2 linked regions of the Macaca mulatta genome follow. The protein of the gene in region 2 interacts with the protein of the main gene of each other region in a pairwise test. Links are inferred from orthologs where the notes say so. Each region holds a gene or a part of one and is shown on either strand. Other genes may lie near its edges.

What was found.
Region 1: the proteins of CCDC116 (region 2) and BEX3 interact in binary tests that used the Homo sapiens proteins (3 or more experiments, as listed by UniProt). The two-hybrid records come from large-scale screens. The link is inferred for Macaca mulatta from reciprocal best matches to the Homo sapiens genes CCDC116 and BEX3.

Annotation. Positions count from the first base shown.
Region 1 is NC_133426.1:110,012,617-110,029,018, reverse strand, and holds BEX3 (protein BEX3), read right to left. Parts: upstream 9,057-16,402; 5' UTR 8,958-9,056; intron 8,554-8,957; exon of another isoform or gene 8,475-8,553; intron 8,119-8,474; exon of another isoform or gene 8,092-8,118; coding exon of another isoform or gene 8,062-8,091; coding exon 7,756-8,061; 3' UTR 7,421-7,755; downstream 1-7,420. UniProt on the Homo sapiens protein: May be a signaling adapter molecule involved in NGFR/p75NTR-mediated apoptosis induced by NGF. Plays a role in zinc-triggered neuronal death.
Region 2 is NC_133415.1:31,349,125-31,364,250, reverse strand, and holds the end of CCDC116 (coiled-coil domain-containing protein 116), read left to right. Parts: intron 1-479; coding exon 480-1,034; intron 1,035-1,148; coding exon 1,149-1,733; intron 1,734-2,896; coding exon 2,897-3,607; 3' UTR 3,608-3,789; downstream 3,790-15,126.

The sequences.
Region 1 (16,402 bases), on a different chromosome or scaffold from region 2:
TATAAATTAGTACAGCCATTATGGAAAACAGTGTGGAGGGTTCTCAAAAAACTAAAAATAGTATTACCATATATCCAGCAATATCGGAAGGAAAAGAAATCAGTATATTGGAGAGATATCTGCACTCCCATGTTTATTGCACCACTATTCACAATAGCCAAGATATGCAATCAACCTATGTGTCTATCCAAGGGTAAACTAATAAAGAAAATGTGGTACATACACAGAGTGGAATATTATTCCACCATAAAAACAATGAAATCCAATGATTTGTGACAACATGGATGGAACTAGAAGACGTTATGTTAAGTGAAATAAGGCACACATGAAAAGACAAATGTCATATATTCTCACTTTTATGAGAGAGCTAACAAAATTAATCTCATGGAGATAGTGAACAGAAACACTTTTCTGAGAAAGATAAAACTATCTCATCTAGTTTATGATGTATCCCAAGGTTAGAAATGTTGAAAATTTTTCAAAAATAAATCCTAACATAGAATAGGATAATTTAGATCCCATGATATATGCATTGCTAGGTTCTCTAGCATTTTGACACATTTTCTTACAGTCTTTCTCTAGGCATATTTGTACTCAATATAATTGTGCTTCCATTGTACTACCAGTCGTTCTCCAGTATTAGTGTGCATTAGAATCTTTCAGGGGAGCATGATAATAACATATGTTTTGGGACCCAGTTAGGAGTATATTTGAATCATGTAATATTACGGAAGGGTGACAAATTCTATGTTGTTAACAAGAAAGACAAGAGATTGTGAAGCAGGCAGTCTGTGTGAAATGCTTCAAAAATCACCAATGCATACTGACATGGACTCCTTTCTCCTAGACCAAAACTTTAGTCAGGCTTCTTTGAGCCTTTTTTTTTTTTTTTCAACTAGGCCTTCTCTTTTGCCAACTGAGCCCAGTTTTAGCAAATAATCCTGCTCAGTCAGTTTATCAAGAATCCTCCCACCTTTGCCATCCAATCAAGCTCTTCTTCCGCCACTTTTGATGTCTATTCAAGTTCCTCCCCTTCCTCTGATAACTAACCAAATTTCTTAGTAGTTTTCACCCTCTCCCTCACGTTTCCCAGTGGCCATAAAATCCCAACTGTCTCAGTAGTATTTGGAACAGAGTTCAATCTCTCTCCCATCTTGCAAGAGTCTTGAATAAAGTCTTCCTTGCTGTTTTTTTAAAAACAAGAATCCAGTGTAATGTTTCTTTTATAATACAATGCTAATTTTTTTTCATTTTTAATTTGCTGTGTCAAATTAAATTTGCTGTGGGAAATGCAAGTCTTTGCTTCTAGAGAAATGAAGTGACTTGCCTGCTGTTCTTTAGTGAAGGGCAGAACTGGGCTAAGGATTTGAGGATCCCCACAGAGTCATAATGGCCACATTAAACATTTATTCAAGGTTGGCATGGGGGCTTATACCTGTGATCCCAGCACTTTGGGAGGCCAAGGTGTTAGGACTGCTTGAGCTCAGGAGTTCAAGACAACCTGTGTAACATAGCAATACCTCGTCTCTACTAAAAAAAAAAAAAAAAAAAATTAGCTGGGTGTGGTGGTGCACATCTGTGTTCCCAGCTACTTGTAAGGTTGAGGGTGCAGAATTGCTTGAGCTGGGGAGATTGAGGATGTAGTGAGCTATGATCATGCCACTGCACTCCAGGCTGGGCAACAGAGCAAGACCCCATCTCAAAAACAAACAAACAAACAAAAACAGAACATTTACCTAAGGCATAACAGAATTTCTGCTCCTAGACAGATGGAATTTTTCTCCCACATAAAACAACTAAAAAGTTGGATGAAATACAAGAACAAGCTGTTCTCAAGACCTTCGACAGCAGGCAACAATGTTTAGTGATCCCTGAGAAACTGGGAACAAATGAGGTTATTCTTATGATTGCCCCAGCTTATTTCCTGAAGAAAGTTTTCAGGTCGCAGTGCAACAAGCAGGAATCCAGGCAAAACCCCATGGTATCCCAGAGCTTAGAATAAGAAGTTGGGAGTCCAAGGAGGGCAAGGAAGCTGGAGTTCACAGGGCTGTGTCCCAAAAAGGAAAGAGCCGCACAGAGAAGGAATTCCAGAGATCCATGGAGAGCCACTCTTGAATATTTACCTGAGTACTGTTAAATAATAAACTTAGGCACATTAAAACTTTGAAGAGTTTATTTGAGCTGAGTTTATTCATGAACAGAGCAACGCCAAACTGCAGGTGGTTCAGTGTTCCACCAAGGGGGCATATGAGGGAAAAACTTTTGTAAAATGTTTTCTAAAGCAAAACAAAGAAAACATTTGATTTTTAAAAGTGAAAGGTTTCTAGTTAGTGGTTAATAGGCAGCTTTTGATGGGTGAAGTCTCTAGTTAGAGGTTAGTTGGCAGTTTTTAATTGGTTATGCTTACATTTTATTTTCCTAGGCTATGACCATTCACTATGAGTTGGGTTTCAATTTGCTTACATAGAAACTCTAGTTTGCTAGAGTCACCTCAGTCTAATGGCCTGCCAATTATTTTAACTAGTACTGATCACTCTGATCATCACATATCTGTAGGAAAACTACCCCAGATCAGGAAATGATCTACCAAAAAGGATTAAAGGAAATAATTCCTTAAGTTCACACATGTTTGGGAACAGCGCATGTTCCCACTAGCCAGAATTGGAAACCTCATAATTCACAGGACATCAGATAGAGTACTCAGAAAGAATTTTCCTCATTAGTGGGGAACGATTAACTCTAAATACAACACTAATCCTTTCTTACAAAGTTTTAAAGCAAGAATCTAAAAGACCAAACTTTACAAAAACTGTTTTCCAGAATACAAATTAATATAACTCCAGGGATACGAAAATACCCAGCACTCAATAGGTGAAACTTACAATGTCTGACATCCAATCAAGAGCCTACAAAGAAACAGGAAAATAAAAATCATCATGAGAGAAAAAGCAACCAATCAAAACTGACCCAGAAATGACAACGATGGTAGAATTATATAAGGACATAAAAGCAGATAATTAGAACTTCATTGCATGTGGTCAAGAAGCTACAGGAAAGAGTGAACAAGTTTAGTGGAGACATGGAATATAAAAAAATATTTAAAAGGCTCAAATTAAACATCTAGAGATAAAATCTACAATGTCTGAAATGAAAAAATATACTAGATGAAGTTAATGGCAGATTACACATTGTAGAAGAATAGTATACCTGAAGACATAGCAAAAGAAACCATTTGAAATGAGACACAGAGAGAAAAGACTGAAAAATTAACAGAACATTGTGGTTGTGTGACAACCATATTGATAGTCACTTGAAATGGAAATTGTCTTAGCCCTCTAATTACATGACGGAGATTGTCGGAGTGGATAAAAAAGCAAGACTAGGCCCCTAATATCCTATAACCACAAATACAAGCTGAGAAAAAGGCCTCTTTTGCTAAAAATATAAAACATACCATGGTCCAAGCATCACTAAGACAGTACCCACCAAAACTAGCACAACTGTAATTCAAGTAGGTCTTTATGCACACCTCTGTAGGATATAAACTGGGACATTAACACGTTGAGGTGTCTAGAGAAATCTGTAGTGATCAAGACCAGTGGAGAGTGCAGAACTGGGAGGAGTGGGTGGGTCATCATAGCTGAGGGATGGAGTGGGACTGTGACATAGTTTGGCTACCACTCCGAGCAGCTGAAGGGGATCTGAGGTACTTGGATTCTGAATGTACAGGTGAAAACATGAAGTCACCCAACACCGTTCACTCACATGCCCTTTACCTCCTTTGGGTCTCACAGCAGCCCTGGAAATTATCATCTCCATTTTACCAATGAGTATAGTAAACACTAATGCGTTACCATGGCAATAACTACTAAGTTTACATAATCAGCTAAAGGATCCAGAACTAGTTTGAAATTCATTATTCTTTTTCAACAAATTTTCCACTCTTTTAATAACTGACACATTAGTTTGCTTCCTCTTTTAAAAACCAAATTTTAATTACGAACTAAGTAATATGCATTAATTTAGGGAAAAAATAGACAACAACTTAAAATTAATTGATACTCATGTGATCTTAGGAAAAGAAGGTGTTGAAGAAAATATTTTAAAACTTTCTTAATACAGTTTTTCTTCTGCTCAAAGCAACAACAAAAATGCATTACTTTACAGTCAGAAACACAAAGTTCATTTGTGTGAAAACGATTTTTTAAAATGGGCATACATCTGAAGATTTCTCTCTTCATATGAAACTCAGCAAAGTTTATTTTTATTAAATAGAAAATATTTTCCATCAGAGTAAATTTCTAAACATGCCAATTGTGACTTTTCAAATGTCTGGCAAACTTTTTTTTTAATTAGATTTTCAAGTTTATAGGGATGCCATATTTATTGGGTTATGTAGAGTTATATCACTTAGAAAGCATTCCAGCTGGTTACACATGAAATATCAACTACATAACATGCTATCTTTCTGAAAATTTAAAAATTGGACCTTTCTAAACAAAATCAGTATATTTACTATATAATATATGTGATGTCAGGAAAGGAGAAAGAGTAGACGTGGAATTTTGCCCATTTCATTTATGAAACCCAAAACTTTTTCTACTTCTAAGACAATTTTTAAGTTTCGTAAATAAATAGTTCTGTCCTGTTCTAGTAAATAAATATATTTACTTTATATTTCTAAATTTACAAAAATACATTTCAAAATTGGACTACATTACATCACTGTGAGTGGACTTCTGAAATGTGATGGTTTGAGTTTTGAAAATCAAGAGCTAACTAACCGAAAGCTGATCAAATGTGAGTCAATCAGCTTTGATAAGTGGAGAGGAGAGATTAGAAAAACAGTAACAAACATGGCAAGCTAAATATATTTCTTTGGCAGGGGCTTTGAAAGAGGCAGTGTTCCTCACAAGAGGCTCTAAGCCTAGCTTTATCATGATAAAATATAAGATGAAGATTAAAAAACTTACGAATGGTATCTTTGGATGACTGGATTATGGTTTTGTTTATATTTTCCCTATATTCATGATCCAAATATGTATGATGACATTATATAAATAATTATAAAAAGTATTAACATTTTAAAATGTTCTTTATAGAAACTTTTAAAATACGAAAGTATTAAAAAAAACACAGGCTCAAAAATGTTGTTATATATTGTTTTAGATAAACTATAATCCTAAAATAATTTAATAATTAATTAGTAAATGAATTAATTAAATGAATTATTATGCTATGAAACATCTACTATACTAGGCACTGTGCTAGAAACTGAGTTCCAGGGAGATTAAGACAAAATCATTGTTGTGAAAGGGCACAGGTTGGCATAGAAATGATAATGCATAATTTATTTAATAATTTCATAATTATTATACATTTATTATTAATAATAAACTCATGATAAGGTATTAGTTTAATAGGATATTTGAAAAGAGGATAAAACAGTACTGGTTTAAGTATAAACATACATTGATGGTCTAATGTAGTCTGATTTTGGAATGCTGTACTTTGGAAACGTATATTCTTTGTGGAATCAACTAAGTAAGGTAATTTGGATCACGATATTTGTAAAATGGTGTAATTACTGTCAATGTTTCTCTATGCCTATGTTGTCAAAACTCAGATGTGTGAGAATCACTTGGGAAACTGTCAAAATAGTAATTCCTGATTCTGGTGATTCAGGTGGTGACAGTGGCTGGTAGTGGGTGGGAATAGCACCCAGCTGTCATCATTTTTAACACTTTCCCTAGGTGATTGTGATTCAAGTAAGGGGTCTATGTTTCCCTAAACACTAACATATACAAGGTTTAAAAAAAAGTTTACAGAATTTGAGTTAGAAACTTTCCTTGCTATGTTCCTTTGGAAACAATGTAATGCTTTCCACATAACTAGTTACTTGCCTTTGGCCCCTTAGTTAAGGATAGTGAGTTAGGGACAGTTTTGAGCTGGATTTCTAACTCTATCTTAGTTAACTAATCAATCAAAATATTAGTAATTTCATATCTACTATGTCGGGCACCATACCAGAAACTGTCTGGAGAAAAGGGCACACACTCACAAAGAAATAACAATACCAAATACTTAATATAGTTTTTAAGAACTTACAAAGTAGTTTCATGGTTCAGGTATGGACAAGAAGGGAGTGTGTTTCCGCTTTAAAGAAAATGTGTTCCCCCAATTAACTTACAGGTCTGGGTAAGTCTGTTAAACTGGGTGGGCAGGCCTGCCAAAAGCCTCCTTTGAGAAAATCCATGTCAAGGATAGAAACACAGGCACAAATAAAGCCTTCAGCCTGTTTGTATTGTGGAGGTTTGCAGTAATGCAATTCAGGGCACACTTAGATGCATTTCCTGAGCTAGTTACCAGTGCACTCTTGTCTGAGTTATTTGAAGGAGTTATGAAAGAAAACCAGAAAGGGCTATTTTTCTAAGAACCAATGTAACCCCAAGAACCACAAGAGTTGTACTCACCGGGATAAACATAACTCAAGTTATAAAGACATTCTCCACAATTCTATAGAGGTCAAATGGGGATTTGGCTCACGAGATACTCCAGAGAAATCAGTGGGGCTTTGTTACCTTGAAGACCCTAGCACCTCATCAACAGCAACAGAAACAGGATCCAGCAGAAAGGAAAGTGTGGCCAATTAAGAATTTATTATTAATAAGTAATCAGGGGAGCAGGAGGATTGCAAATAACAAGAATGACATGGGGGAACCCACCTATTTTCACTGTCTGGACTTGGAAACATGAGTGATAATTCCTCCAGTCCTCCCTAAGTACCTGATGGGGGTCCCGGTCCTGTTAAATGTTGGGGAGTTGGGAACAGAAGTCAGCCCAACACAGTTCCACATTTCATCAGTTCCACTCAGCAGCCCTGTAAGACAAGCATTGTTCCCCATTTCACAGAGCAGAAAACGGGCTCTTTAAAGGAATGTATCTGTAATAAAGGGAAGGTTTATTATTTCAGTTAAGACTGAAGGATACTTAGTTTACTCTTCAAATTTGTTGAGCCAGTATTGTTATGTATCTGCACTACATTCATAATCTCATTGAAAAATAATTTTCATTGCTTCTCAAACTCCAGAAAATAAAAGGAAAAAATGTCACATATCATTTTTTTTTTTTTTTTGACTGAGTCATGCTCTGTCGCCCAGGCTGGAGTGCAGCGACGTGATCTCGGCTCACTGCAACCTCTGCCTTCTGGGTTCAAGCATTCTCCTGCCTCGGCCTCCCGAGTAGCTGGGACTACAGGCGTGTGCCACCATGACCGGCTAATTTTTTGTATTTTTTTTTTTCAGTAGAGACAGGGTTTCTCCGTGTTAGCCAGGATGGTCTCGATCTGCTGACCTCGTGATCCGCCTACCTCAGCCTCCCAAAGTGCTGGGATTAGTTATCACACAGAAATGTGCCCCAATTAACACTCTAGTGTATTTAATCTCAGATTTTTTTTTAGTTCATCTGTTATATGTAAGTATACATTTTTAATGAGACAATAAATGTATAGATTGCTTTTTAAATTGCTTTATTAGCTTTAAATTTTTCCATGCAAATGGGTGAAACTACTGCTGACAGAAACTTAGACTGAGTGCAAAGGCAATTTCCAAATAGAAGCTGGCAACACAAGACCCACTTGACACATGGAAATAACAGGGTTCACAGCAAACGGATCAGTAAAGGCATATTAGGAAAATGCAAGGAAAAAGAAAACAGCGGGAATCACAGTATTAATCTCATGATAAATGGCAGGAGTCAAGGCATAAGGCAAAATTCATCATGATGGTCATGGTGATTAGAGAGCTCCCCCATAAGGATACGCAGACAATTCCTCAACTGCAGCTCCCTAAGTTTTCTCCTGATTTCTCTCATCTCCTCCATGAATATTTCCATATCATCTCCATCTCCACCCATCCCATCATTGATCTGCCTATTGGGTATGGCCCATCGAAAATTAGGGGCAAGTCGGCGCGCCTGTCCCCGTCGATTTCCTGCAGGCTGGTGGCCTTCACCTCCTCCCAAAGGGCGGTCTTCCTCTCCATTCTGCATAGGCTGCTCCATCTCTTCGTTTTCCTGGTGAATATTTGCCATGATGAGATTTTTTTTCTGGTTGTTTTTCTTTGAACACAAGTAAGACAAAGGCAAGGAGAGAGACTGAATGCTTGGTGCACTGACCAGCAGGATTCAGAACCCTGATATCAAAGGATTTTTTCATTTCATTTTTTCCTAAGTTGGAAGTTCCGTGCGTCCTCTAGGGGGCCTCCAATTAGAGCCCCTCCCTCCAGCTTTCTCCCCTTACCTCCCTTCCCCCAAACCCACCATTTTTCCTTTCCCAGGATTCTTTCCCAGAGCTTCGCAGGCACCAAAATGGAGGACCGGTATAGGAGTGGGGGATGGGGTGGAGGGGGTTGGGGTCTCAGACTGGGCTTTCCTCACGTTCCGACCCCCGCCCCACCACCGTCCCTCGAACCGACCTGGGCCTATCCTTGCAGTTTCCTCCTCCTCCGGATTCTCGCTGCTAGGTGCGCCGCGGGGACACTTAGCCTCGCAGACCTGCAGTCGGGCCGGGGTGGGGGGAGTGGGGGCTGCTGCAGCGACACGCTAGTGAGGACCAGCCGCCGCCGGCCCTTTCCCTGCCCTGGGCCCGGGCTCCCCTCGCGCCAGCGCCCCGCGTCTCCCACCCCCCGCTCCCACCCCACCCTCGGCCGCCCCGCCCCCCGCGGTGTTCCCCGTTTTCCTGCAGGGACTCGGGGGTGGTTTTCCATCGCTCTTGGTGGCTCTGCCGCCCCTGGAAACCCAGCCGCCCCTGCTTCCCCACCCTTGGGGGCCTCTATGTTCCCAAGCATGTTGGAGTGTGGAGAAAACTGGCGGGGACCCCTGCGCTGTTCTGCGCCCGTTGCCGGGGTCGGTCAGCCGCTGCTGGCATGGCCGGGGCGCGCGGGCCCCGGGGCCCTTACCTGCTCCGCTTTTTCCCGGGCCGGATGCCAGCCCGCCGAGCTCAGGGCAGCGGGGAGCTGGTAGACAGACGCGAGTGACGACTGCACCGAAGGCTGCGTCGCTCTGCAGCTCTGGGTCACGTGAGGGCCGCGCGTCACCACCGAGCTCGCCCCCCAACTTGGGCGGCCAGTGCAGCAGGATCCCCCTTCCCCCCCACCGCCATATGCACGCGCAAAAAACAGCCTCCCTACTCCCGTCTGCGTGAAGTGCCCCAGAGCGCACAGCCCTGTCACTCTTCTCGGTCCTCTCCAATCTGAGGGCCCACAAGTGGCATCACTGCTCTGCGGTTGGAGTTTGCCCTCCTCTGGTTACCAGGGAGGGTCTGCATCATCCACCACCGCCCCCTCTCACTTCAGGCCTTGGTTTTGGCCTTTTCTGCTTTCTCTCCTCTTCTACCTGGCAACATGCTTTGCGCTGCACTCCCACTCCTGCCCCTTGCGTGTGCACAGCCATCAATGCCCACGTAGCCCCTGAAGTCCTACCATTCTAGAAAATTTAGAGTGATGGCTAAGGTGGTGAGGCAGGAGGGCACTTGTCAGAAAGAGGGGCAAGGAAGTGGAGTGGGCTGTATATATTTCTTTTTATTTCCTTAAAAAATCTGCATGCTTCCGAAAATTATAAATTATAAGTTTTTAATTTTGAAAGAAATGCTGGCCAGGTGCGGTGGCGTACCTGTAATCCCAGCACTTTGGGAGGCCGAGGCGGGCGGATCACTTGAGGCCAGTAGTGCGAGACCAGCCTGGCCAACATGGTGAGACCCCGTCTCTACTGAAAATACAAAAATTAGCTGGGCGTGGTGGTGGGCGCCTGTAATCCCAGCTACTCGGGAGGCTGAGGCAGGAGAATCGCTTGAACCCGAGAGGCGGAGGTTGCAGTGAGCCGGGATCACACCACTCTAGCCTGGGCAACAGTGCGAGAACCTGTCAAAAAAAAACGAAAAGAAAAAAAAAAAAGGAAATGCTTTATCCTGCAGAATGAAATCTCTGTCATTGTTTATGTTGACTTGTGCCACACGAAATATTTTCTCTGGGCTCCACACAACATCAAACCATTACTTTTGATACATACTAGCTCGTTTAAAATTTTATTTTTGGCCGGGCGTGGTGGCTCACGCTTGTAATCCAGCACTTTGGGAGGCCAAGGCGGGCGGATCACGAGGTGAGGAGATCGAGACCATCCTGGCTAACATGGTGAAACCCCATCTCTACTAAAAATACCAAAAAAATAGCCGGGCATGGTGGCGTGTGCCTGTAGTCCCAGCTACTCGGGAGGCTGAGGCAGGAGAATCGCTTGATCCCGGGAGGCGGTGGTTGCAGTGAGCCGGGATCGCACTACTGCACTTTAGCCTGGGCCGCAGAGCGAGACTCTGTCTCAAAAAAAAAAAAAAAAAATAAATAAATAATAAAAATAAAAAATTATAAAAAGGCGGCACTCTTTCTGAACACAGTTAGTGTTTTCAAAATGATCTGTAAAGTAAATCTTCAGGGAGCAGTCCGGTCGTCAGATCTTCACCATTTTATGTAACTTTGATGTTTTTGATACCACAGTCATCAGAGAAAGGGAGTCTTTTATTCCCTGCTTTCCTTTCCAAACCTTTCAAACCACCCCTACAAATATCTTTTTAGTACGAGTTCAGAAGTTAAGTACATATTATGCAGAAATTAGTTTCAAAACCATCTACCCTTTGGTGCGAATGTTTAAAAATATATTAGAAAAAAGCAGGGGATGTGTGCAACAACTTAACTTGAGACTGAACCTCATCCTGAGTGCAAATGTTCCTTTCTCCAACTTGAAATCATTTTTTAAAAAATTATCACAGCTAGAAAATGGAGATATCTTTAGGAAAGTGGCATTGTTATAAAAAAATTTAGTATCTGTTGTTTATGATCAGGAACCAAAAGCATAAAATGCAGCACTGAGGCAAGATAAGCCAGACAAATGTTTACTAACTCTAGTTTTGGCCCCAGACTCCTATAGAATTTCCTGCCCTGCCAAACCAGATGACACAGTGAATAAAGGAAGAGTATATGCCCAATGCATATGTAGTTAGAGGTTTTGGAAATATAAATTCCATATAAAATTACATATATATTCTTCTAGAAGTATATAGATATATTAGTACATTACTCCAAAACATCAAATTATAAAATCACACTCAATATTTGTCTTTTAAAGAAATATTAGTGATTCCTGGATTCTGTCTCACAGTTAAGAACTTTTTATACAGATTGCTATATTAATGATATCAGCTGGAATGATGCAGTTTCAAAGCATGAACAGTAGTATCAGACAATTCTGGTTTCAAATTCGGTAGGTTGTTTACTTGATGTTCGACTTTGGATCAATTACTTATCAAGGTCTGTGTGCTTCCTCTGTGAAACAAGGATTGTTAGAATTACACATAACAATAATTTACTACATAGCCTAGTAAGTCATCAATTTTTGTTGACATTATTTTTATCGTTATGAGATGGTTTCTAACATGATTTGAAGAGTAGCAGAGTATGATTCTTTCCTTACCTAGACCCACTTGTTCTTAAAATCCATCAGGGCCCAAAACATGCTTGCTGTGTTCTATTTTGCATACCCAGTGACTAATAGTGTTCCTTGCACCAAATAGGTGATTACTGAGTATTTGTTGAATGAGTGTATCCAGTACTGAGGCAAATTGGTTGTTTTTCATTCTGGGGACTGTATTTAGAGCAATACAGAAAAGCTTTTGTGAAAATTAAGAATTACCTAGAAAAAAATCTCCTGAAAGCTGAGAAGCCACTGTGATGTGACTATTGGATATAAAGTTTAGCAAGTGGATTTTTATTTCTTTTGGTGGCTAAGTGCTTTGCTTTTTTTCTTTTGACCTATCTTGGATAAATCCTTTGTTCAAAACCACCAAATTTCCTTGGATGAAAACAGACATTTGTTTGTAACATCCAGATTGGATATTATGCTATATAGAAGATTAGTGCCGGGCGCGGTGGCTCAAGCCTGTAATCCCAGCACTTTGGGAGGCCGAGACGGGCGGATCACAAGGTCAGGAGATCGAGACCATCCTGGCTAACACGGTGAAACCCCGTCTCCACTAAAAAAAATACAAAAAACTAGCCGGGCGAGGTGGCAGGCGCCTGTAGTCCCAGCTACTCGGGAGGCTGAGGCAGGAGAATGGCGTAAACCCGGGAGGCGGAGCTTGCAGTGAGCTGAGATCGCGCCACTGCACTCCAGCCTGGGCGACAGAGCGAGACTCCGTCTCAAAAAAAAAAAAAAGAAGATTAGTTGTAATAAAGTAATGTTTTAAAGATAGGTGAAAATTGTCCTGGAAATGCTGTTATCTTTACTAAAATGTTGTGAATAGGAGTTGATTGAGATGTTTTCTTGACCTTGGAGTTTTCTGAGGAGTTGGAAATAGATAGCACACTGTTGAGAACAAAAGCAGAAATTTTTTCAAGGCCAAGTTAGAAGGACACTATATTCTGCATTTGGGATTCATGTGTCCCAAAGGGCAAAGAGAAGGTGAACTGATTAGATGGTTCTTATCCACACACACATTTTACACATGTTTCAAACCCAGGAGCCTCAATTCTAATCTGCCCTGGAGGGACCAGGAGGACTCAGAATGAAAAGTGAGATTGGCATTTGAAAATCAATAGAACCAAATCTTTAATCTGACTGAAACTATTTTAATAAGCAATAGTGACTGAAAAGTTGAAGAACTGGACAGAAATGTAGTTAAAGAAGCCCATTACCCCGTGTGAAATGGGGGAGGGGGTGATAGAACACTGCTGATACAGTTATTGGAAAAATAAAACTGTTTCATGATTTGACCTCAACTAGTGAAGATCCCTCTATTGTATTAGTATCCCATCAGAGGAAGCTCGTTTTTGCTGAAATCTTTATGTGTATTGCCATAATATGGCTCACATGTACTTGTCTGAAATGCACCCCGTTGGGCTGTGGTTGTTGTCCTATTTTCCTCTCATTATTTCTCCTGTGTGAATGCTAGGCTTCGGAGAAGGTAGTCTGAGCCCTAGTGGGCCCTATGGGTACGAGTATCTCTGTTCCTGCCCAGAATAGGTTCTCTATGTACCTCTCTGATGCTTTATTGATATTCTTTTATTGTGATTCTCTCTTTCTCTCTAAATTTACGCACTGATTACAGACTGAAACTAGGTATTAAGAATATAGGAAATTATGCCTACTCCAGCTTTCCTCTAAGTTATGGCCGTTGTTAACTTTGATGCCAAGATTTCCAAAATGTGGAATGAATCTGATGAAATTTTAAGGGTGTCCCTGTAAGAGTTTCGATGATTTGGGAGATAACATATTTAATTCAAGGTATCTAGTCTGAAAAAATAAAAGGGCTATGAGACGAAGATGTCTGAACGTGAAAGCAGCAAATACTCAGCGCCTCATTATCTATTGGAGAACTGAGGGCTATTCTTTTCTTTATTTCATGGATTGCAGATAATATCTTGAGACACCAGAGACCCATGGCCACTCTTTCCTGTCGTTTAGGACTCTGGTGGAAAAGGAGCTCTGCCCTATACAGTCTCCTAAACTGATGACATTAGCTGGACTATGTGTAGGCCAAGAGAACTCCTTTGGCCCTTCTAGATTCAGGCCGAGGCAAGCACCTTTCTTACTTTTCCCTGGACTTAGGGATGAACTTTGAGGAGTAACAAAACTCGTGCCTAAACGTTCATGAAGTCACTTTTTCTTATTTCACTGTTATTACTCCCATGTAAGTTCCATTGCTAGTACACAGTGCAACAAAGGGAACCTGATTTTTTTCTTTCTTTCTTTCTTTCTTTCTTTCTTTCTTTCTTTCTTTCTTTCTTTCTTTTCTTTCTTTCTTTCTTTCTTTCTTTCTTTCTTTCTTTCTTTCTTTCTTTCTTTCTTTCTCTCTCTCTCTCTCTCTCTCTCTCTCTCTCTCTCTCTCTTTCTTTCTTTCTTTCTTTCTTTTTTTTTGAGATGGAGTCTCGCTTTGTCACCCAGGCTGGAGTGCAGTGGCATGATGTCAGCTCAGTGCAACCTCCGCCTCCTAGGTTCACGCCATTCTCCTGCCTCAGCCTCCCGAGTAGCTGAGACTACAGGCGCCCACCACCACACCCGGCTAATTTTTTCTATCTTTCAGTAGAGACGGGGTTTCACCGTGTTAGCCAGGATGGTCTCGATCTCCTGACCTTGTGATCCGCCCGCCTCGGCCTCCCAGAGTGCTGGGATTACAGGTGTGAGCCACTGCGCCTGGCCAGGGGACCTGATTTTTCACACAAATTTAAAAGACAGAGAATAAACGGGAGAAATATATTTATACCATATGTGCTGTGGGTTGAATTGTGTCCCCCCAAAATATATATTGAAGTCCTAAGCCTTATAACCTCTGATTGTGACGTCATTTGGAAACAGAGCCTTTGAAAATATACTCAAATTAAGGTGATGTCATTAAGCTGGGCCCTAATACAATATGACTGGTGTCCTTATAAGAAGAGGAAAACCAATCCAAGGACAGAGGCAGAGACTGTAGTGATGCAGCTTCAAGCCAAAGAATGCCAAGTATGGACAACCATGACTAAAAGCTAGGAAGGAACAAGAAAAGACTCTACCCAAAGTCTCTGAGGAAGCATGGCTTTGCTGACTCCTTGATTTTGAGATTCTAGCTTCCAGAGCCATGAGAGGACACATTTTTGTTGTTTTAAGCCACCCAGTTTGTGATACTTTGTTACAGCCATCCTAGGAAACCAAAAATATGTGAAAGAAAAAGAAAGTTAACATCCACTATATTTAAAGAGCCCTTACAAATTAATGATAAAAAAATGAACATACCAATGGGAAAATGAGAAATGGATATGAATAAGTAGTTTACAAAAGAAATAAACATGGCCAATAAAAAATTTATTTTTTAACAAATAATAGTTGAGCATTTATCATGTGCAAATTGCTGTTTTAGGTACTAAGGATGCAGGAGGAAACAGGATAGACAAGGGCCCTGTTGTCAAAGACCTTCCATTATATTGAGTAATGTTGGGGCTCAGAAACTGATACCCCAAGATATGGTGCTTTGACATGCTGAACTGAAGAGGAAGCCTCAAGGTCCGTCTGACCTTTCCCACACACTTCCTGACTCTCAATCCTCTGTCTTTCCCAAAGCACAGGATGAAGTTGTTTTCTGAAGTTCCCTTATTTATCTAAAGTCCAGATTCATTAAAGAAGAAAACAATTACCTCTGGTCCCTTCCCTGAGCTTTCATTAACTACACTCATATCTCAGGAAGAAAGACTGAAGTCTGTCAACATGCCTAGACAAACTTTTGTCACAAACCATCTGCTTTGGACGCCCAACAGGCTATGTCCCAGGTTATTGTATGTTCTTCAAGCCCATTGTCTCTGAGGGCTAGGATATAGGAAATAGAATAATAAAATAAACTGTGAGGCCAAAAGAATGGATTAGTAGGCTTATAGAACAGTGGATTTTATAGCTGTGTTTTCTATGCCTTTGCCTAATTTTGGATTTATAGGGTAGGGTTTATGATCTCAAGTACTAGGCCTTCACAGATTGTGTACTATGAAAACCAAAACAACCTTAGAAATATTTTAGTACAAGGGTCCTATTATTCAAATTGAGAAACTGAGACCCAGAAAAATTAAGGTGCTTGCCCAGGTTACCAAAGAGGGTAGTGGTAGAAGTAGATATAGAGATAGCTTTGTTAGATCTACTAACTCCCAGGAAAGAAATCTTTTTCACTTGTTTGTTTTCTTAGTGTCTTAGTCAGTTTGGGCTGCTATAACAAAATAGCAGCTGAGTGGTTTAAACAACAAACCTTTACTTCTTACAGTTCTGGTGCAAGATCAAGATGTCGGTAGATCCGATGTCTGATGAGGACCCACTTTCTGTTTTGCAGATGTTAATTTTCCTTGTAACATCACATAATTGAGAACAGAAAGAGGGGAAGCAAACTCTCTCATGTCTCTTCTTATAGGAGCACTAATCCCATTCATGAGGGCTCCACTCTCATGATCTAATTGCTTTTCACAGACTCCACCTCCAAATACCATCACACTGGGTATTAAGCTTCAACATATGAAGTTTGGGGGTACAGAAACATTCAGTCCATAGAACTTGGCCAATTTTATTTATTTGTTTACCTTCTAGGTTTATACATATTGTGCATAAACATCTAAGGAAATATTTGAATATTTTGTCTATGATTGCCATCTGTCAATCTTAGTCTTCTGTCCCTCCTCTTAAATCTTAGAAGAGGGCTTATGACAGTTTCAATCAATAGGGTAGACTAGAGTAAAACTGATGCTATATGAATTACAAGGCCAAATCATAAAACATCATACAGCTTCACCCTTATTTACAGGAAACATTTGCTTTTGAAGCCCTGGGATGGCCATGTTGAATATGCTAC
Region 2 (15,126 bases):
CCTGGGTAGCACAGGGCTCAAGACCTCAGCTATTGTCTGCACTCAAGACCTCAGGTGTTGTTTGCAGCCCTGCCATGGAGACAGGGATGGCCTGCTGCATGGACAGATGAGGAGCTGGAGGGAGACTCCAAGAGGTTCATGATTGCTCATCCTGCCATGTATCAGGGCAGAAGCAGGCTAAGTCCCTTAGCCAGGACTTGTGTGTGTGAAATGTAGGTGTTAGGAAAGCTTCAGGGCGACCCTGAATAGACCTCCACTTTGCAGATAAGGAAATTGGACCTCAAGAGGGGCCATCTTGCACACTGTCATCAGGCTGTAGGTGGCAGAGCCAGGGTCCAAATCCAGGGCCTCCAGACTTCAAAATGCAGCTCCTTCCACTACTCACTCTCACTCAGGTCCTAGTGTTACCCTAGGAAGACCCCAGGGAGCCCTTCACCTGTAGGGCACCCATGCCCACTGTGACATACCTGTCTGCTCAGGTGCAGCTACCCAAGAAGCCACTGGTTCCAGAGATGGGGCCAGCCTCCAAGCCGGGCCATGTGCCACACCCACCATCCACATGTGGCAGCTCAGCGCTCCAGAACCAACGCCGAAACAAGAGGCACCCTCAGCCCTTTAGCCACTTTCTGGATTTCCTGACTGAGAGCCATGTCCTGGACAGCCTGGAGACAGTGGTGGAGAAGGCGACTGAGCGCATGGCTGCCATGAAGACCGAGGCTGGGGTGCCGCTTGTGGAGGTGCAGGACCCAGTGGAGGTGCCAAGTGGTGGGCGGCGGGCACATGCCCGGCCCAGCCTCAGCACTGTACACCGGCACCGTGTACGGCCGACCCTCTGCACTGGACACCCCAACAACTACCCATCCAGCTCCAGCTCCATGTCCGACTCCCATAGCAGCCTCATGGCTGGCTGGCTGGGCTCCCACAGCCGGGACAGTGACCTAGGTGCCCAAGGTTTAGGCTCACTGCCACCTGTGAAGGACAAACTCCTGCTGGAGAAGAATCTCAAGCGGCTGCTACAGCTGGAGAAGAAAGGGGTGAGAGCCGGGGCCATGGCTGGGTGGGGTGGACTCCCACGGAGAGCCCAGGGCCAGGGTCAGCCCTGGCTTGGCTGCTCCTGAACACTTCTCAGAGTCACCCTCTTTCTGCAGAAAGGCCTCAGTCAGTCCTGCTCCAAGAGGGACTCCCTGCTGTGGGATTTGCTGGGCAGCCAGACCAGCTTTCAGTGGACCCAGGAGCAGCCCCTGTCCTGGTTCTCGGAGCTGCTGGGCTCAAGCTCTGGTGTGCCTGAAGCATCAGAGCCGAGGCCTGGAGAACAGGAGCCGATCTGCAAACGAGAGTTCAATAAAGAGATCAAGTCGTTACTGAGCCAGCTGGAGTCCCTCGACCTGCCTGGCTACTGTCCGCTCCGTGAGCCCCATCGCACACTGAACTTCCTGGCTGACCACCGCCTCTTCCCTGCCCTGCAGAGCGTCGTCAACCAGGCTGTGGATAAGCTCCGCGGCGCCCGCTGCCGCGACGGCCGTCCTCTGTTCCCCACCAGCTTGGAGCCCCCCTCAGAGCTGCAGGTTCAACGCAATCTGCCGCCGCTGGGCTCTGAGCCGGCTAAACCCACCAACAGCGGGCAGCCCCACCCCACAGTCTCCAGCCCCAAGACGCCTCAGAGAAAACACAAGGACAGAGGAGGCTCCCCCTCCATGTCTAGTGCCCAGGTGGCCACCAGATTCAAGCTCAAGGTGACACCCATGGAGAAGCCCGATGTCCCCAGCCCCTCACTCCACTCCAGGGAGAAGGAGCCTGACTCAGATCCCAAATTACAAAACCCACCTGTTTCCCTGAGCTCCAGACAGAGGGCCCAGCCCTGGCGGGGCCTGCACCTCACCCTGCCCGCGCCCGGGATAGTGGTGGAGGTGGCCTGCGGCCAGGGCCACCTCAGGGTTGTCACACCTCCACTTGCCTGCCCCTACCCCCGCTCTTCCTGCTACCTTCTCCCTGAGCTCTCCCCAGTTGCTTCCTCATCTCCCTCCTCACTGTGTCCAGAGGTGACCTCCTCGAAGGTAGGACCGGACATGAGTTTGCAGGAGAAAGGCTCCTTGACCCGCCACTCCTAGCAGCCACTATCACTGGCAGGTGCTCAAGGTCAAGGTTTCTTGCCCTGCACTGTGGAAACCTCCTGGGCAGGGGTCAAGCTGATGGGGGCCCGTGAATCCTGGCCTAGCTACTACCAGGTGTTGTCACAGATAAATAAAGGCTATTTATTTATGCTGGGTATTTTTGCTAACGTTTCTATGTGAATCTAGAGACGCTCCTATGTGGGAGTGGAGGGTCCCGTCCCTTGTGGACAGAAGCACTAGCCTGGCCGGGGCCTTGCCTCCTAGGTCTAGTTCCCTTGAATCCAGCTGCCTCCAGCAGGACTCTCCAGTCTCTGGACTTTGCCGAGGGAAAGTTGACCAGGCAGGATGTGCACAAGACGTAGGTGGCCTCACACTCGTGGATCTCCAGCATGGTCCCTCGACCCTTTCCTCGGCCATCAAGGCTCCTGCAGGCATCTCTCTGGGCAGGCCTGGGCGGAAGCCTGCCCAAACCCAGTTGTCAAAGCTCAGATTAACCTCACCCTGTGACAGTTCTCTGCCCTTGCCCCAGGCCCAACAGGTGTAGGAGGTGTGATGGTGAGGTGAGCATGAGAGTGGGCAGTTGAGTGCATCAGCATAGCAGATGTGGCAAAGCTGTACCCTTCGTGTGACAAGTGTGTTTGTCACACGAAGTGTACCCATTCATGTTTGCGATGGGCAGGGCTGGCAGGGCTCTGAGGAGGGCACAGTGGCTGGAAGGGGTGTCACAGAGGGATGGGGCTGGCAGATGTGACATGTGTTCCTTTCCCTCCCCGGCTGCTATGCAGAGCCCCCGCAGCAGTGGCAGGTTCACAAAGAAGAAGCCGCTGCCCTCCATCTCATCGAAGTCCAGCATGTCTCACTTCTCCAACCGCCTTTATGAGGAGCTCGCCGACTTCCTGACCCAGCAGGCAGCCTCCCTGCTCATCCGCAAGTATGAGTTTGAAAAGGACCTCAGTAAGCAGCTGGGCTTCTTCTCCTTTCCTGTCACCCAAGTGCTCAGGGACCTTTCCCTGGGCTTAAAGAAGGTGAAAGGCTCCCGCATCCAGCTGTCCTCGGAGACCCACCGGAGCTGCCTGCTGCGTAAACTGGAGGAGGCCAAAAGGGCCCGGCAGACCTCCCGGCTCAGCACCCCCCACCGCAGCACAGAGACACCCTCTGTGCAGCAGGAACCGGCCACCCACACTGCCCAGGACCAGGCCACAGAGCCCTGCCGCTCCATTTACACTAACTTGCCAGCCAGCCGGCAGCTCAGCCCATTGGAGCCCAAGCTCTCAGTGTCCGCTGGCACCGGCATGGGTTCCAGTCTCCCCAAGTCCAAGGACACGGACAGTGAAGGCCATGATGAGGCCGAGGTTGAAGATGAAGATGAGGATGAGTACAAGGATGAGGACCAGGATGAGGACAAGGAGGAGGATGGAGTCCAGAGCCTCCCAGAACCTGGAGAGGAGGCCTCGGTCAGCCACTCTGTGGACGTGGGCCATAGTGACCCACCATGAAGTCCCCACTAGCCACTCGATTCCCTGCTCTGTCAGAGTTGCTGCCCATCACACCAGCCCCTGCCATGAGCAGAGTCACCACAGGCTGAATGCCCACGAGGAGCTCTGCTGAGACTCTCAGGGGAGCCAGCGAAAGAAATAGAAATAAAGCCTGTGTTGCTGGGACACAGGTTTGTTGTCCTGAGATTTCAGCCGCCATTTTATTTATTTACTTATTCGTTTACTTATATTTAAGATGAAGTCTTGGCTGGGCTCATGCCTGTAATCCCAACACTTTGAGAGGCTGACGTGGACAGATCACTTGAGGCCAGGAGTTGGAGACCAGCCTGGCCAACACGGTGAAACTCTGTCTCTACTAAATACAAAAATTAGCCAGGTGTGGTGGCAGGTACCTGTAATCCCAGCTACTTGGGAGGCTGAGGCGGGAGAATGGCTTTAACCTGGGGAAGCAGAGGTTGCAGTGAGCCGAGATTGCACCACTGCACTCCAGCCTGGGCAACAGAGTGAAACTGTGTCTAAAAAAAAAAAAAAAAAAAAAAAAGTCTTGCTGTGTCTTCCAGGCTGAAGTGCAGTGGCATGATCTTAGTTCATGGCAACCTCCACTTCCTGGCTTTAAACAATTCTGTCCCCTCAGCCTCCTGAGTTGCTGGGACTACAGACGCCCGCCACCATGCCCAGCTAATTTTTGTATTTTTAGTAGAGACGGGATTTCACCATGTTGGCCAGGGTGGTCTCGAATTCCTGACCTCAAGTGATCCACCAACCTCTGCATCCCAAAGTGCAGGGATTACAGGCATGAGCCACCACGCCTGGCCACTAATTTTTTATGTATTTTTAGTAGAGATGGGGTTTCACTATGTTGGACAGGCTGGTCTTGAACTCCTGACCTCAGTTGGTCTGCCTGCTTCAGCCTCCCAAAGTGCTGGCATTACACGCATGAACTACCGCACCCGGCTTTTATTTTTATTTTTATTTTTATTTTTTGAGACAGAGTCTCACTCTGTTGCCCAGGCTGGAGTGCCTTGGTGCGATCCTGGCTCACCACAACCTCTACCTCCCAGGTTCAAGGGATTCTCCTGCCTCAGCCTCCTGAGTAGCTGGGACTACAGGCGTGTGCCACCATGCCGGGCTAAATTTTTTTTTTTTTTTCTTTTTGAGACGGAGTCTTGCTCTGTCGCCCAGGCTGGAGTGCAGTGGCACGATCTCTGCTCACTGCAAGCTCCGCCTTCTGGGTTCATGCCATTCTCCTGCCTCAGCCTCCCAAGTGGCTGGGACTACAGGCGCCCGCCACCGTGCCCAGCTAATTTTTTTGTATTTTTAGTAGAGATGGGGTTTCACCGTGTTAGCCAGGATGGTCTCGATCTCCTGACCTTGTAATCCACCTGCCTCAGCCTCCCAAAGTGCTGGGATTACAGGCATGAGCCACTGCGCCCGGCCAATTTTGTATTTTTAGTAGAGACAGGGTTTCACTATATTGGCCAGGCTGGTCTCCAACTCCTGGGCTCAAGTGATCCTCCCGCCTTGGCCTGCCAAAGCACTGGGATTACCGGCATGAGCCACCATGCCCCGCCCAACACTGGAGTTTGGAGGCTCAGTGGGGCAGTGGTGTACACTGGAGTTGCTTATGTGACTGCTTTCAGCTGCTCACTGAACTGAGGCCAGAACATTCCAGGGTCCCTCTCTATGTGGCTTTTTACCACGCAGTAATCTGGCACTTCATTATCGCAAGGTGCATTGTCTAGCTTCCTAGAAGGATGAAGCCAGACCTGCCAGAGTTCTTATGGCCGGTGCTCAGAAGTCCCCAAACAGCACTTCTTCGGCATTCGATTGGTCAGAACAAGTTGCGCTACCTACCCAGATTCAAGGAAAGAGGAAATGAACTACGTATCTTTGGCTTACGGGGATGGGAGGAATTGTGAGTATTTGGAGACTAGTTACCACCCTTCCTCCTCTCCACAGCTGATTGTACCTTTAGCAGTCCTTGGGCCCAAGTTGAGCCAATCAGATTCTCTCTTGAGAACCTGAACCTTAAGACAAATTATGGTTAGTAGGTGGAGGGCATTGGAGAGGCCATAATCAGCCCTGAGGAGCTGCCCATAGGGTGAGCAGGGGAAGGCAGTCTGCAGCAGGAGGCTGGAGAAGGGAACAGCAAAGAGAGGCCATGAGGCTCCCCGTGAGAGTCAAGGGAGTGCTACATTGGCTTCCCCACTCTAGGTCTGGTATCTCAGCCTACTTAGAATCCTGTCTTGCTTGTCAGGAAGATCGCCTGCTGTGTCCTCACCCTCCTGTGGTCCTAAATGCAACTGGGAAATGGCTGGCAGCTTCTAGCAGGGAACTGGCATGATCTTTTGATCTATGCTTTTACCACTTTCTTTTGAGACGAAGTCTTACTTTATTGCCCAGGATGGAGGACAATGGTGTGATCTTGGCTCACTGCAACCTCTGCCTCCTGGGTTCAAGCGATTCTCCCACCTCAACCTTCTGAGCAGCTGGGATTACAGGCACATGAGACCACGCCTGGCTAATTTTTGCATTTTTAGCAGAGACAGGGTTTCGCCATGTTGGTCAGGCTGGTCTTGAAGTCCTGACCTCAGGTGATCTGCCTGCCTCATCTTCCCAAAGTGCTGGGGAGTCACCGTGCCCAGCTGCTTTTACCACTTTCCTGTGTAGAAAGAATGCTTTGGAGGGGCCAGCATCATAATGGAAGCAGCTAGACCTGTTAGGAGGCAGTGGTCAATATCTAAATGGGAGATGGAGGGGCTTGGGTTAGAACTGTGATGGGGACTCAGGAGAGATGCCTTGAAATGTGATTTGGAATGACAGCCATAAAGACACGTTGAGTGGGCTGGGCATGGTGGCTCACGCCTGTAATCTTTTTTTTTTTTTTTTTTCTGAGACGGAGTTTCGCTCTTGTCGCCTAGGCTGGAGTGCAATGGCATGATCTTGGTTCACCACAACCTCCACCTCCTAGGTTCAAGCGATTCTCCTACCTCAGCCTCCCAAGTAGCTGGGATTACAGGCATGCGCCACCATGCCCAGCCCACTCAACACGTCTTTATGGCTCTGATTTAGTAGAGATAGGGTTTCTCCATGTTGGCTGGGCTGGTCTTGAATTCCTGACCTCAGGTGATCTGCCCACCTCGGCCTCCCAAAGTGCTGGGATTGCAGGCGTGAGCCACCGGGCCCAGCCTATGCCTGTAATCTTAACACTTTGGAAGGCCGAGGCGGGTGGATAACCTGAGGTCAGGAGTTCAAGACCAGCCAGGCCAACATGGTGAAAACCCGTCTCTACTAAAAACACAAAAGTTAGCCGGGTGTGGTGGTACTGGGTACCTGCCTTAATCCCATTAGCTGGGTACATGCCTGTAATCCCAGCTATTCAGGGGACTGAGGCAGGATAATCGCTTGAACCCGGGAGGCAGAGGTTGCAGCAGTGAGCTGAGATTGCGCCACTGCACTCCAGCCTGAGCGACAGAGCAAGACTCTGTCTCAAAAAAAAGAAAAAAAAAAAAGGAAAAAAAAAGAGTTGTTAAATGAGGCACATGTGGAGACTCAAAAGTTAAAAAACTAACTAAATAAATAAAGGCTGGGAGTGATGGTGGTGGCTCACGCCTGTAATCCCAGCACTTTGGGAGGATGAGGCAGGTGGATCACCTGAGGTCAGAAGTTCGAGACCAGCCTGGTCAACATGGTGAAACTCTGTCTCTACTAAAAATACAAAAGAATTAGCTGGGCATGGTGATGCATGACTGTAATCCCAGATACTCAGGAGGCTGAGGCAGGAGAATCTCTTGAACCCGTGAGGCGGAGGTTGCAGTGAGCCGAGATCACGCCATTGCACTCCAGCCTGGGTAACAACAGCAAAACTCCATCTCAAAAGAAAAGAAAAAAAAAAAAGACTTGTTGAATGAGATGTGAGGAGCAACAAGGTAAAGAGATGAATGAAAGAAGAATCCCAAGTTTTGGGCCTGAATGGAGGTGCCATTTACTGAGACTCAGAGGCCTGGGGGAGGGGCAGTTTGAGGGCAGAGACCAGGAATTCTGCTTTGCATGTGTTGATTTTGAGGTGATGGCTGACATGTCCAAGAGTATATATCCGTTGCCTCTCAGATAGTACTTCAGATCTTCCACCCTAGACTGGAAACCCCTCAAGTGCAGTGACTACCAAATCCAGGGTAGACTGACCTTTAACTGTTTGGACACCTAAATGCTGAAAAGATCAAGGTGACTTATACTACATGTAACTCAAAATAAAAACAATATGAAACATGAAACCCCCAAAATAACATGTTGCTGTAATGAAAATCGCTTTACTCTGGATTTTCTGAATGCAAAATTCTGGACGATTTAATTAAATATGAACTTTTGTCTCTGCTTTGCCTGTGCTTCAACTACACCTTAGCCTCTTGAGCCCAGAGCTGTTTCCTCTGTGACCCCACAGGATCTGGAGTGAAGCCGCTGCAACAATGTCCCATGAATGAATAAACAGTGGTATAAGTTTTCCTCCCTTTGAAGGTTGAGCTGACAACACTCTGAGAAGGCGGCAAAAGGGAGACCTACTCATGGCCAGGAGACTGGGACACAGTCACCCAGGCTTGGTTCCCACAGCCCCTTGGTCTCCTTGGACTCTGGTTTCCTAAGACAGCTCTGGGGCTTTCTGGTGGGAAGCTGCCATTATTCTCGACGCCACAGCTCCCTGCTGCCCTCTCCTGCCCGATGACCCAGTGACCACAAGATTTAGCCACGAAAGGAGTCAAATGTATAAGTGGCCAGGGGAATTCAGAAACCCCAGGGTCTAGGGACTGTGGTGACCCAGTGTCAGAGAGGCGGCTAGGGCCGAATGACTGGGGGTTTCATTAATCTCGGGGTCCAGGGACTGAAGGACCAGACGATTCAGTGATTCTGGGATCTGTCGACTTTGTGACCACAAAATCTAGTGATCCAACAGCCTCAAGACCCTGCAGTTGTGGTCCCAGGTTCTGAGGGGAGAGACTAATTACTGAGTGCCCAGGAGTCCAGGATCAAGGGGCGTCGTGAACACGTGCCTGCAGGGTGCTAGGATCCTGAGCTGGTATCCAGGCACTCAGCGGCTGCGGGGCTCGGACTCGGCGTCCTCACCAAGCGCTCCCGCTCATTCTCCGCCGCTTGGCTACTCAGCCGCCCTTCCCTGGACACTCATTGGAAAGTCCTCGGAAGCGTGTACCAATCAAAACCCTCCTCGTGTCTCCAGTCCCCGCCCAGCTACTGCTCTAGCGAGACGGGGGCGGGCCCTCTCCTCAATGACCCAATGGCAGTGCAAGCGGAGTGCCGCGCGGGCCGACCATTGGCTGCCGCGAGCGGGCGCTGTCAGAACTGGATTGGGCCGCGGCGAGGACGGAAGCAGCCCTAGTGCCGGAGCGGCTGGAGCCGGGCCGGGGCGATGTGGAGCGCGGGCCGCGGCGGGTCTGCCGGGCCGGTGCTGTTGGGGCTGCTGCTGGCGCTCTTAGTGCCGGGCGGTAGTGCCGCCAAGACTGGCGCGGGGCTCGTGACCTGCGGGTCGGTGCTGAAGCTGCTCAATACGCACCACCGGGTGCGGCTGCACTCGCACGACATCAAATACGGATCCGGTGCGTGTGACCTGCGACTGAGAGAGCGCGGGGATCGGGGGCTTGGGGTTGGGAGTGTGGAGACAGGGTGGTCGTGGGGGTCTGTGGGCCATCTCGAAGCCGGGCGGCGGAGGCTCTAGAGTCGTTGGGGGGTCGAGGGGCGCAAGGCTTTGAGGGTGTCGAGGATATTGAGGGTGGGGACGGTCGTCGGGGAACTGCAGGCCCAAAGACTGAGGAGGGTGTCAGGCGGGGGCCGGGGCTGGGGGTGAGCCCCTTGGGGTCCCCTGGGAAATGTTATGGTCCCAGGGCGAGGGTCCGGGGTTCTGCGATTGACGGAGACCCTGGGTGAGTGGGGTGTCACTCCTCAGGCAGCGGCCAGCAATCGGTGACCGGCGTGGAGGCGTCGGACGACGCCAATAGCTACTGGCGGATCCGCGGCGGTTCGGAAGGCGGGTGCCCGCGTGGGTCCCCGGTGCGCTGCGGGCAGGCAGTGCGGCTCACGCATGTGCTTACAGGCAAGAACCTACACACGCACCACTTCCCGTCACCGCTGTCCAACAACCAGGTGAGCCCCTCCCGGAGCCCCCAGAGAGATTCCTGGCCTGTGTGAGGGGCCAGAGATCCTGGGTTCCAATCCGAGCCTCAGCTTCTTCGTGAAATGGAAATTTCACTTCAGAGATGGTTATTGAGCACCCCTTCGGGGGAAACAGAGTAACTCCGCCAAGATCCTGCCCCCAGGTGCTCCCGGCCCGGCAGGGAGACCGATGGGAGAGAGATCCGAAGAGATCCTCCTGGATAGCTCTTCCTCTGGGGGCAAGTGGGACCCAGGAGGAGAATCCACACAGCCTTGAGGGTGGGGAATAGGAAACTCCACTGGGGAGGAGGAACTCAGGCTGGGTCTGAAAGGATGATTAGGAGTCCTCCAAGCCACAAAGGGAAAAGAAGGACTTCCCAGGCCAGCAGAAGAGATTGCACCAATGCATGGAGGTCAGTGGAATTCAGGGGATTGGGATGGAACAGTGGGTGCCCTTGGAGAGTTGGTGGAAGAAAATGTTTGAGATAGATAGACAGCTTGACTGCTAGCCTGAGGGGCTGAAGGTAGGTCAGAGGGATTAGGACTGGGAGAATGTGGAGGAGGAGGCCTTAGCTCTGTGGGGACCAGTAGTCTCTGCACAGACAGATGCAATGGTGTGTGCACGTGTCTGAAGAGCCCATGCTGGGGAGGGAGTGCCAGAGGTTGCGCGGGCGGGTCATGGTGTCACCTTTTGCAGCTGTGGGAGCTGAGTCTCCAGGAAGGGCAGGGAAGGATCCTAGGCTCAGTGTAGGTACGAATGCCGCCTTCTGTGGTGACCACTGTCCCCTCACCCTCTGCACCTATAGGAGGTGAGTGCCTTTGGGGAAGACGGCGAGGGTGACGACCTGGACCTATGGACAGTGCGCTGCTCTGGACAGCACTGGGAGCGTGAGGCTGCTGTGCGCTTCCAGCACGTGGGCACCTCTGTGTTCCTGTCAGTCACGGGTGAGCAGTATGGAAGCCCCATCCGTGGGCAGCATGAGGTCCACGGCATGCCCAGTGCCAACACGCACAATACATGGAAGGCCATGGAAGGCATCTTCATCAAGCCTAGTGTGGAGCCCTCTGCAGGTCACGATGAACTCTGAGTGTGGGATGGATGAATGGGTGGATAGAAGGTGGGGTGTCTGCAGGGCCACTCTTGGCAGAGACTTTGGGTTTGTAGGGGTCCTCAAGTGCCTTTGTGATTAAAGAATGTTGGTCTATGATTGTGTTTCACTGTGAACCTGAGGATGACCAGGAGCTGCCAGCCCAGGCCCAGTTGATCATCTCTTCCTCAGTGTAAAACCTGTCTCCATCCCAGCGTGACTGCTGAACCTGTCCAAACCCTTTATTATTATTATTATTCTTGGTTTTTCGGGGGGTTTTGCTTTTTTTTTTCTTTTGAGGCGAACTCTCGCTCTTGTCCCCCAGGCTGGAGCGCAATGGTGCAATCTCAACTCACTGCAACCTCTGTCCCCCGGGTTCAAGTGATTCTCCTGCCTCAGCCTCCTGAGTAGCTGGGATTACAGGCATCTGCCACCATACCCGGTTAATTTTTGTATTTTTTTTTTTTAAGTAGAGACGGGGTTTCACCATGTTGGCCAGGCTGGTCTCGAACTTCCTACCTCAGGTGATATGCCCACCTCAGCCTCCCAAAGTGCTGGGATTACAGACATGAACCACCACGCACGGCCTGGGTTTTGCTTTTTTAGAGATGGTCTCACTCTGTTGCCCAGTCTAGAGTGCAGTGGCATGATCATGGCTTGCTGTAAACTTAAACTCCTGGGCTCAAGTGATCTTTCCACTTCAGCCTCCTGAGTAGCTGGGACTACAGGCACACACCACCATGCCCAGCTAATTATTATTTCTGATGAGACAGAGTCTTGCTCTGTCATCCAGGCTGGAGTACAGTGGCAGTGATCATAGCTCACTGCATCCTGGGCTCAAGTGATTTTCCTACCTCAGCCTCCCAAGTAGCTGGGACTACAGGCATGTGCCACCATGCCTGGCTAATTTTTTTATTTCATTTTTTTGAGACAACGTCTTGCTCTGTCGCCAGGCTGGAATGCAGTGGCAGATCTCTGCTACTGCAAACTCTGCCTCCCAGGTTCAAGTGATTCTCCTGCCTTAGCCTCCTGAGTAGCTGGGATTACAGGCATGCGCCACGACGCCCAGCTAACGTTTGCATTTTTAGTAGAGACGGGGTTTCACCGTGTTGGCCAGGCTGGTCTTGAACTCCCAACCTCAAGTGATCCGCCCACCTTGGCCTCCCAAAGTGCTGGGATTATAGGCCTGAACCACTGTGTCCACTCCCCCTGGCTAATTTTTAAAATTGTTTTAGTAGAGACAAGGTCTCATTGTATTGCTCTGGCTGGTCTCAAATTCCTGAGCTCAAATGATCCTTCCACCTTTGCTCCCATAAAGTGCTGGGATTACAGTTGTATTACTTTTATTTTGAGACAGGGTCTTACTATTTTGCCCTGGCCAGACTCGAACTGCATAGTTCAAGCCTCCTCCTGACTCAGTCTCTCAAGTGGCTGGGATTACAGGCGAGTGTCACTGTGCAATCTAAACCTTTTCAGTGGTCTTCCATGTACTCCAGTGCTGCCCTGGGCATCCCCCTGTCCACCCTCAGGCGATCTGATGGCAAGTGACCCCAGTTCCCTGTTCCCCAGCCCCTTAGCTTTATGAACCTTCCTGTTAAGGGCCAAGGCCAGACCTCAGAGCAGGATGGATGGCAGCCCCACTCCCTGTCAGCTGGGATGAGGCACAAGCTCTCCAGCTCCCTCATCCCTAGATGTGAAGAGCTCACTCTCCTGTCAGTTGTGGCAGTCTTGACACCTGTATTTGACCAAGAGACAGATGAGGATTCTGCCCATCCACTGGAAAGTAGCATCACAGTTTCCCTCACTCGGTGCAAATGGCACCTCACCCACCCTAGCCTGCCTAGGCACATGGCATCTCAGGCCCCCACCATGACCTTTGAAAGTATCAGTGAGATAACAGAACTACAGAAGATACTGCAAGGGAAGGCAGCCGCGTACAACTGCTACCTGCAGAGATCTGAGAAGACTTCCTGGAAGAGTAAGCACAATTTGGGCAGGCCAGAGTATGGTACCTTTAAGGCAGGAACAGATTAAATAGGAGAGCCCTAATAAAGGAAGATCACTGTTAGCTTTGCTGGTGTGTGGGTGGCCTCTAGCGGTTACGGCAGAGATTACAGGCTTCCTGGACTTGGTAACTCAGCTGGGCAGCTGTGGGTTGGCTTAGGACACAGGAGCTACCGAGTATAATGGTTGGCTTCCCTGAAGCAGAACAAAAGAGCCCAAGGAGAGAGGCCAGGGGTGGCAACTGACTGGAAGAGGCTCGGAGTAGTGTGGACAGAGCACCCTGCATTGGATAAATCAATTGACCTTTCATGGTTTTTTTTGGTTTGTTTTTGTTTTTGAGGCAATGTCTCTGTTGCCCAGGCTAGAGTGAAGTGGTGCGATCTCGGTTCACTGCAACCTCCACCTCGCAGGTTTAAATGATCTTCCCACCTCAGCCTCCGGAGTAGCTGGGACTATAGGCATGCACCACCACGCCCAGCTAATTGTAGTATTTTTTTCTAGAGACAGGGTTTTGCCATGTTGCCCACGCTGGTCTCGAACTCCTGGACTCAAGTGATCTGCTCACCTCAGCCTGCCAAAGTGCTGGGATTACAGGTGTGCACCACCACGCCTGGCCTCAGTTGACCTTATTAAAGGATGGAGCAGCTGGACATGGTGGCACACTCCTGTAATCTCAGCGCTTTGGGAAGCTGAAGTGGAAGGATTGCTTGAGCCCAAGAGTTGGAGACCAAGAGTTGGTGAGCTATGATGGTGCTACTGCATTCCAGCTGGGCAATAGAGAGACTCTGTCTCTTTAAAAAAAAAGGCCGGGCGCAGTGGCTTACGCCTGTAATCTCAGCACTTTGGGAGGCCGAGGCAGGCGGATCACAAGGTCAGGAGATCAAGACCATCCTGGCTAACATGGTGAAACCCTGTCTCTACTAAAAATACAAAAAAAATTAGCTGGGCATGGTGGTGAGCACCTGTAGTCCCAGCTACTGGGGAGGCTGAGGCAGGAGAATGGAGTGAACCTGGGAGGCGGAGCTTGCAGTAAGCCAAGATCCTGCCACTACACTCCAGTCTGGGCAACAGAGCGAGATTCCATCTCAAAAAAAAAAAAAAAAAAAATGCCGGGCGTGGTGGCTCAAGCCTGTAATCTCAGTACTTTGGGAGGCCGAGATGGGCGGATCACGAGGTCAGGAGATCAAGACCATCGTGGCTAACACAGTGAAACCCCGTCTCTACTAAAAGAATACAAAAAAAGTAGCGGGGTGAGGTGGCGGGTGCCTGTAGTCCCAGCTACTCTGGAGGCTGAGGCAGGAGAATGGCGTGAACCCGGGAGGCGGAGCTTGCAGTGAGCTGAGATCTGGCCACTGCACTCCAGCCTGGGCGACAGAGCGAGACTCCGTCTCAAAAAAAAAAAATGGCTTGGGGTCGGGTGAGGGGGCGGGAGAAAAGCTCTAGCCAGTTATGAATTTGAACTCCTGGGCTTAAGCAATTCTCTCATCTCAGCCTACCAAAGTGTTGGAATTGTAGGCGTAAGCCACAGCACCTGGCTTTTTCTTTTTTATTTTTTTGGGGAGATAGGATCTTGGTCTGTCACCCAGGCTGGAGTATAGTGGCTCAATCACAGCTCACTGCAACCTCTACCTCCTGGGCTTAAGGGGTCGTCCCACCTCAGCCTCGAGTAGCTGGGACCACAGGCATACCATACCACACCTGGCTAATAGTTGAATTTTATGTCGAGATAGTGTTTTGCTATGTTGCCCAGGCTGGTCTCAAACTCCTGGGCTCAAGTGATCCTCCCACCTTGGTTTCCTTTTTTTTTCTTTTTTTTTGAGATGGAGTCTCACTCTGTCACCCAGGCAGTGCAGTGACTTAATGCAACCTCTGCCTCCCGGATTCCAGTAATTCTCCTGCCTAGCCTCCCGAATAGCTGGAATTACAGGCATGTGCCACTACACCTGGCTGATTTTTATATTTTTAGTAGAGACGGGCTTTCGCCATATTGACCAGGCTGGTCTCGAACTCCTGACCTCAGGTGATGTGCCTGCCTCAGCCTCCCAAAGTGCTGGGATTGCAGGCATGAGCCACTGCGCCTGGCCCCCGCCTTGGCTTCTGAAAGTGCTGGAATTATGACCGTGAGCCACTGCACCCGTCTTCATCGTTAAACTTCTTGAGGATCATCTACAAGTCTATCCACCTCTCCCATCACTCATCTGACCTGAGAGGATTTGAATGGAAGTATTGCTGGCATAGAGGAATGGGGCTGTGAGAGGGGACGGGAAA